2 linked regions of the Canis lupus familiaris genome follow. The protein of the gene in region 2 interacts with the protein of the main gene of each other region in a pairwise test. Links are inferred from orthologs where the notes say so. Each region holds a gene or a part of one and is shown on either strand. Other genes may lie near its edges.

Evidence for each region.
Region 1: the proteins of DRAP1 (region 2) and GTF2B interact in binary tests that used the Homo sapiens proteins (3 or more experiments, as listed by UniProt). The two-hybrid records come from large-scale screens. The link is inferred for Canis lupus familiaris from reciprocal best matches to the Homo sapiens genes DRAP1 and GTF2B.

What each region holds. Positions count from the first base shown.
Region 1 is NC_049227.1:60,037,261-60,040,908, reverse strand, and holds part of GTF2B (transcription initiation factor IIB), read right to left. Parts: intron 2,847-3,648; coding exon 2,700-2,846; intron 2,568-2,699; coding exon 2,438-2,567; intron 1-2,437. UniProt on the Homo sapiens protein: General transcription factor that plays a role in transcription initiation by RNA polymerase II (Pol II). Involved in the pre-initiation complex (PIC) formation and Pol II recruitment at promoter DNA.
Region 2 is NC_049239.1:51,851,926-51,856,072, forward strand, and holds DRAP1 (dr1-associated corepressor), read right to left. Parts: upstream 2,826-4,147; 5' UTR 2,706-2,825; coding exon 2,664-2,705; intron 2,412-2,663; coding exon 2,339-2,411; intron 2,228-2,338; coding exon 2,134-2,227; intron 1,836-2,133; coding exon 1,716-1,835; intron 1,593-1,715; coding exon 1,499-1,592; intron 1,326-1,498; coding exon of another isoform or gene 1,259-1,325; coding exon 1,170-1,258; intron 824-1,169; coding exon 718-823; 3' UTR 587-717; downstream 1-586. Other genes in the region: C18H11orf68 (UPF0696 protein C11orf68 homolog), read left to right, coding at 3,150-3,283, 3,982-4,147. UniProt on the Homo sapiens protein: The association of the DR1/DRAP1 heterodimer with TBP results in a functional repression of both activated and basal transcription of class II genes.

The DNA.
Region 1 (3,648 bases), on a different chromosome or scaffold from region 2:
ATACGGAAACAGTCTTTCTATCAATAGATAGATGAAGAGGAGGTATATCAATACAATGGATACTATTCTGCCTTAAAAAAGAATAAAATCTTGTCACTAGAAAGTATTATGCTACGAAGACTGAGAAAGACCAATACCATATGATTTTACTCATATGTGGAAAACGAAAACAAAAAATTAACAAATAAAAACTCATGGACACAGAACACACTGGTGGTTACAAGAGGGGAAAGGAGTTGAGTAGGCAAAATGAGTGAAGGGAATCAACTATATGGTGATGGCTGGTAGCTGGATTTTAGTGATTACTTTGTAGTATGTAACATATGTCAAATTACAGTTGACCCCTGAACAACTCAGGGATTAGAGGGTGCCAACTCCCAGCACAGTCAAAAATCCATGAATAACTTTTTACCCTCCCCAAAACTTGAACTACCAGTAGCATACTGTTGAATGAAAGCCTTAGCAATAATAGTCAACATTTTGTATATTATGGATTGTATTTTAACAAAAAAGCCAGAGACAATATTAATAATATCATAAGAGATGGGACGCCTGGGTGACTCAGTGGTTGCATCTGCCTTTGGTTCAGGGCATGATCCTGTAGTTCTGGGATTGAGTCTCGCATCGGGCTCCCTGCATGGAGCCTGCTTCTCCCTCTGCCTGTGTCTGCCTCTTTCTGTGTCTCTCATGAATAATAAAATCTTTAAAAAAAAAAAAAAATCGTAAGAGAAACTACACTTACAGTACTGCACTATGTAAAAAAAAAAAAAAAAAAATCTGCATATAATTAGATGTGTGAAGTTCAAATTTGTGTTGTTCAAGGGTCAAATGTATAATATTGTGCAACTAGAACTCACCTATGGCACATATAGTATATATGGTATATATGGTGTACACACACAGGCACACACGGTATATAACATACCAGTTACCTCAATAAAGAACAAAACATGCCTCTCAATACTTCCCATAGAGCTAATTTAAAATTTCTCAGTTAATTTTTTTAAAAAAGATATATTTAGTTTTAGAGTGAGCACGCACGAGCAGTGGGGAGGAGGAGGGAGAGAGATTCTCAAGCAGACTCCGCACTGAGCCTGAAGCCTGATGCGGCACTTATCAATCTAGATCACATGATCTCCCTGAGATCATGACCTGAGCCAAAGCCAAGAATCAGATACTTAACTGACTGAGCCACCCAGGCACCCCCTCAATTAATTTAAATGTTTATCACACTTTAAAGAAGTCTTTGAAATGAGTTAAATGTCGGTTTTTATTATTTCAAAATACTAACAAGTTTCAATTCAAAGAAACAAGTTTTTTCAAATAATCCAAAACTCCATTGATATTTATGTATAAATCTTTTGTAAGGAGTGTGTATCAAGGAGATAAAAGAATATACTCAAAGCTAAAGGATACTTCTCAAGCTACCCAATGTCATATGTATATGCAATCCCTGGGGTCATAGGCTATAACAACAAAATGAGATCAAGTATTTGACTCTGTTATTCTAAAAATTAAACTACCAAACACAAATTTAACAAAAGCCTTAGTTTTAGTTGTAATAAACAAAAAGATGAGGAGGATAAAAGCCACTGCCTCGCCCCGGTGGCTCAGTGGTTTAGCTCAGTGGTTTAGCCCCGCCTTCAGCCCCAGGGCGTGATCCTGGAGACCTGGGATCAAGTCTCACATCGGGCTCCCTGCATGGAGCCTGCTTCTCCCTCTGCCTGTGTCTCTGCCTGTCTCTATATCTCAAGAATAAATAAATAAAAATTAAAAAAAAAAAAGCCACTGCTTCATTGTAAGATATTCATGGGTGAATGAAAGGTAATGAAAATCTTAAGCTGAAATGAACTCTGGCGGAGAAAGTCAGAGCAATAAGGGTCACAGACAGCAGCACTGTGAATAAGCTGTCCTATATTAATCTTGAATACAAACTGGATGAAAAATACTAGTTCTTTCAAACCCTCCAACTTAAGGGTGAAAGTGCAAACTACAGAACTTGAGAAAAATGTCCCTGATGTTTTCTAAGGCTTGACTCCTTCACCTGTAGAGACCTGTGCATGGTCTTAGAAATAGTTTTCTGTGCATCAAGTGTACAGACTTAACCAGTAACAAAGGTATACTCTGGCTTATGATAACAGGCCTCAAAGGCCACAAAATGCAGTCAGCTCAAAAGATCTCACAAGCAAAGAACACAGAGCTTACATGGACTAAAATGACTTTACATGGGAAAAGAGCCTGAGAAGAACATGGTTCAGATCACAGAATTAATTTTTATCAGAGAACAAATTAAAGAGGTATTTTTGGAAATGATACCAAGATGGATATCGTACGTAACCAGGGAAACCTGACTTAGTTATGTGGTGTCCAAGTTCCTTGACTTTGGTCTGTTACTTTAACACAGAGAATATTTGTATCTCTGCAATTAAAAACTTACCTTTGAATGTCCTAGGAACCCCTTCTTGTCTACAGGCAATATAGAGACAAGCGGAAGCTATGGCATCATTAGCTCTTCCCTTCAGGCTCTTCTGTTCATATACTTGCTTGAATAAATTATTTGTTCGATCCTTCAAAGCAAAGAAACTAAGTTTAATTAACTCTAGGCCATTTAATTAGTTGCAATATCAAAATTTCATGTGTTCAATAAATTACACTAAGTCAATGTCAGAATGGCTTAAAGGAGACAGACAAAAACTTACAACTATATTTCGGGGGAGGTTGATTCTGTCTGCCATAGTAGTGATTTCTTTGAAAGCATTCATCATTGCCCGATCAGAACTACTCATTGTTCTCCGATTTTGGTACTTAGAATTGCCAAATTCATCAAAACTTGCAGCTCCTGTACCCTGTAAAACAAGGTTTTATAACTTTATGCAAAAAAATTTTTAAATCTGAATGAATAGACATTTCTAAGGAAACATAACTTATACACTCTGTATAAGCCCAAGAAATCTACCCTGTGCCTCCTCTCTAATCCTCAGTAGAATAAGTACCAGGTTGAGATGGTGTAAATGAGTACCTGTGAGAGAGCTCAAGAGTATAAACCATCACCTAATAGACCTAAGGAGAAAAATGAAAGGATCATCTCCAAAGGTGCTATAAAGGCAAGCAAATAAAACTCAAAAGCCATTTTTTTTATTACAAACTCACAAAATATTACAAATGGGTATTTCTTTGTATTAGAAAATCATTCTCCCAGGCCCAAAGCCAGCACAATTATTAATGGGAAGAAAAGGCATACCTTGTTTTATTGTGCTTCATTTTACTGCACTTTGCAGAGACCGTGTTTTTGTACTGTTAACAAACTGAAAGTTTAAGGCAACCCAAGTTGAGCAAGTCTATTGGCGCCCTTATTCCAACAGCATTTGCTCACTTCAGGTCTCTGTCACATGTTAGTAATTCTTGTAACATTTCAAATTTATTCACTGTATTTCTTACAGTGATCTGTGATCTTTGATGTTACTATTGTTTTGGGGCTCCACAAACTGCACACTTTTAAGACAGCAAACTTAATAAATTTGTGTGTTCTACTGAGCAGCTGTTTCCCCATCTCTCTCCCTCTCTCCTTGGGCCTCCCTATTCCCTGAGACTCAACAATATTGAAATTAGGCCGATTAATAACCCTATAATGGCTTCTAAGTCAGAGGA
Region 2 (4,147 bases):
TCCACCACATCTTCTGCCCAGCCTCACCAAGCCCCTGCTCCCTGAAAGCACACACCTGCCTTGGGGACCCCACGATTCCAGGGTCTACTCAGAAATGGGAGTGGACTGACCAAATGGGTCACTCTCCTGCTCAGAAGCTGATCTCTGAGGCCCCTGACAATCCCACCTGTCTCTGCTCCCACTGCCCCTTCCCACACGCCCTTCATGGCACCAGGCACAGAGCTCTATAGCTTGCAAGTCCTCTTCCCATTGTTTGTCCAATCTGTCTATTTGCAGTAGCCCGGAGTAGGCAGAAAGATCTCTACCGGGGAGATAAGGAGAGGCCACTCAAAGATAGGAACCTTGCCAGGGTCACACAGCAAAACAGGACAGGTCATCCTCCAGCACAACCAGCACCTCTGGCTCCAGCCCTCCACCACCACTCTGCCTTCTGTCAGCACCCCTGCTCCTACCCTGGCAGGACCATGGCCTCTGGAGCCTCCCTCACTCAGCTGCTGCCCTGCCTACCACCACTTCTGGCCTCAGCTCAGCATGGGGAAAACAGGTAGATGGATGGGGAGGTGGCCACAAAGCCCTGGACATAGGCTGGGACAGACACTGGTGTTCCCTTTTATTAATTTTTTAATAAATTTAAGAACAGCTCTATCTTCTCTCCTCCCCCCAGAGCAACTAAAACCAACTAAAAGGGGGTGTGGCCTGGGGGGGGGGCAGAGGCCGCTAGGAGTCATAGTCCTCTTCATCCTCTGCGTCAGGTGCTGAGGGGCCCGGGGGTGCTGGGGGCAGAGGCAGAGTCGAAGTGAAGGGCATGAAGGGTGTCGGGGGGCTGCAGGGCAGAAAGCAGAAGAGAAAGATCAGGCCCCTTGCCAGTGCCCACCTACCCCACCCTTGTGAGCATGGAGCCCCCGGCCTTCTGTACCCAGGGGCAGCCGAGCCCAGAGAAGGGAAGAACCCAGAGCAGGTCACACAGCTCCTGCCCAGGCCCCCTCCAATGGGGCTGGGTGGGGGTAGGGGAGGGGATCTTCTGACAGCAGCATTCTGCCTTTAAGCCCTCCTCAGTTCCTCCCCTCTCATCCACCAAATCTTCCACAAACAACAAAACCAAGTGGCCACAAGAGCAGGCCAGCCTTGAGGAGTCTGCTAGCCTCATCTGGTGCCACCAAGCTGATTACCTCTGAAAGTGGGCAGGGGGATGGCCAGCCTGGGGTGGCGCCTGGGGTGCCTCCTCTTCTCCCTCAGTGTCTGTGTCCTCAGACTCATCCTGGGAGCAAGGCAGGGGTCAGAAGTGACAAGAAAAGCATGAGCCCATCACTGGCGAGCCTAGATCCCTGGGAGCGGCAGGGACAAGACATTGAACTCTCTAGCCTTAACTTTACAGCCCTAATTTACAAAAAACCATAGGTGAGGATGGGTCCGGGTGTCCAGCCAGCATGCTAGGCCAGATACAAGACCACCCCCTCCACACCACACAGTAGACCAGAGGGCTGCGGGCCTCACTCACCTCTTGCTCTGAGTCCGTCCCTGACAGCTTCTTGTCCTTGCTTTTGCTTCCCATCCCACCATTCTTCCGGCCACTGCTGCCTGGCTTCCGACCCCTTTGGGAAGGTACAGTCCATCTGCCCAGAGGTCTCACCATCCCTGACCACCCCCTCCCAGTCACCCCCAACCCCAGTTGGCCTTGGCCTTCCTTGCCTGGACACCTGGCCCTGGCTCCCCACCTGCGGGTACCCTTGTCCCCATCCATGTGGTTGTCTTCCCCGTCTCCCTGCATGTCAGGCACAGAGGCCACCAGATCCTTTAAAAAGTCAAACTGCTGCTCCAGCTCAATGCACTGTTTCCTGGAAGAGGTGAGGAGAAGATGGAATTCAGCTGGGGCCCAGATGTCTGGGTTCTCAGCAAGGGACAGCAGGAGATATCAGGAGATGGATATCAGGAGGATAGAGCCTGGAGAACCTCCATCCCATCTCCACTACGGAACCTGCTCGCCTTGCTACACCACCCAACCCCTCCTCCCCCAGTTCAAACCCACCCATATTCGAGGCGTTGCTGGTCTCCCAGCAGCCTCCCACCTCTCCTAAGTGTGTGAACTCCTGGGGCAAGGTTCCACTGGGCCCAACCAGCTCCCAGGCCACTCACAGGTGGGATGTGGTCATGGTCTTGGCGTTTCGGGACTGGGTCACCTGGCAAGCCTTTTTCAACAGCGACTCTAGGAACAGCTCGAGCGCCCGGGCTGAGGAGCGTCAAGGAGAACACGGGTGGGGGATCCCCAACCTAAACAAGGCGACCCCGGGCTCCCTCCCTACCCCAGGTCCCTCAACCTGGCCAGGCCCCGACAGGATACAGATGATGACAGGCACTGCCGCCGCCACCTTCCCAATCTCTTCGTCAGTTTGCATGATCTTCTTGATCCGCGCCTGGGGAGGGGGCAGAAAACTCGGACCCTGTCGCCTCCATCCCCGAAAGGGGTGCTGGGGGCTAACGAGAGAGGTTCTCCCGGGAGAGAGGGCTGGGGACCCGGACGCCGGGAGGGCACGGAAGGGGGCGGGGCGTTCGTACCCCGAACACCACGGTGCGCCCGCCCCCCCACGCAACCTCCCCAAGCCCGGCTCGGGCCCGAGCCTCCAAAGAGCCCGGCCCGCTCCTCGGGGGCCTGGCCACGTGCTCACCGGCGGGAACCGCGCGTTATACTTTTTCTTCTTGCTCGGCATCTCAGGGCCTCTCTCGCCACGCCGGGCCCAGCGCCGCCGCCCGCAGCTTCCCGGCCCCCGGGCCTGCTCGCCACCCGCCTGCCGCGGTTCCCCCGGGTCCTGGTGCCGCCTGCTCCGCCCCCGCCGCTCCCCACGCGGTCCTAGCGCCGCCGGTCAGGACGCCGCTCGCAGGGCCGGAGCGCCCTCCCCTTGCGGCCTCCCGGGCGGTGCGCGTCGATCCGGGACCGGAGCGCCGCTCCCGCCGGCCCCCAAGCCTAGGAAAGCGAACGTTAGCCCCGCCCCCGAGGCCCCGCCCCGCCCCGCCCCGGTTCCCCTGGCGGCCCCGCCCCCGGGGTCAGTCCCTCCCCTCGCAGGCCCCGCCCCGCGGCGCGGGCGACAGGCCCGGCGGCCCCGCCCCGTGCTGCGCTTGTCTATAAAGTTGTTGTTGAGGCGGCGGGCGCTAAGATGGCGGCGGCGGCAGCCGTGGCGGGGGCGGGGCGCGGCGGGGGCGGCGGCGGCGGCGGCGGCGGCGCGGAGCCCCGGCAGGAGCGTAGCCGGGCGCGGGGCTGGGCCGGCGCCGAGCGCGGCGAAGGCCGGAGGTGACGGCGGGGCTGCGGGAGGGGGCAGGGCTGGGCGGGGGCGCGGCTCGGGCTGTGGGCGCTAATGGCGGCGGGCGCGGCGGGCCCGAGGCTGGCGCTCTCGTAGGCTCTACCAAGCCTGGGTTCCAGTCCGGCTGTCGCCCCGTTGGCCTTGGACTGGTCACGGCTCTTTCCGGGCATCAATGTGCTCGTGCTCAAGTAGGCCCGACAGCGCCAGCCCGGGGGTCTGGTCCTGCTGGGCCTGCCTCGATGCTACGCGAAAGTGCGCTTCTCTGCCTCCCTCCGCTGAATCCTGCGATCGGGATGCCTGCCAGTTCCGGGCAGGGCCGGGAGGTGTAGCTGGGCTGGTTGCTCCCACACCTGAATTCACATTTCGGCCCCTGTCACTCATTGCAGGTGTGACCTTGGGTGGGTCACTTCTCCCTGAGCTTCGATTTTCTGGTCTGTAAATTGGGGAGAGTGGTAATAGCATTAGTAATAACCTTTATGCAGCGCTTATTCCACCTTAGGCGTTTAATGCTCCATAGCTCTACGGGACAGGAACAGCTTTTGTCCACTGTAAAGATGAGGCAGCTGAGGCACCAGACCTTAAGTCTTGCCTAAGGCCACGGAGTTTAAGCCCATTGGCTGCACCAGCTAGGGCCCAGCACGTTGTACGTCTGTCCTGGACCTGCTCTAACTCTGTTCCTTCATGGCAGGATGGAGCCAGGTGAAGAGATGGAGGAGGAAGACTCTCCAGGCGGCCGCGAGGATGGCTTCACTGCTGAGCACCTGGCCGCAGAGGCCATGGCAGCTGACATGGACCCCTGGCTGGTGTTTGATGCTCGCACCACACCTGCCACCGAGCTGGATGCCTGGTTGGCC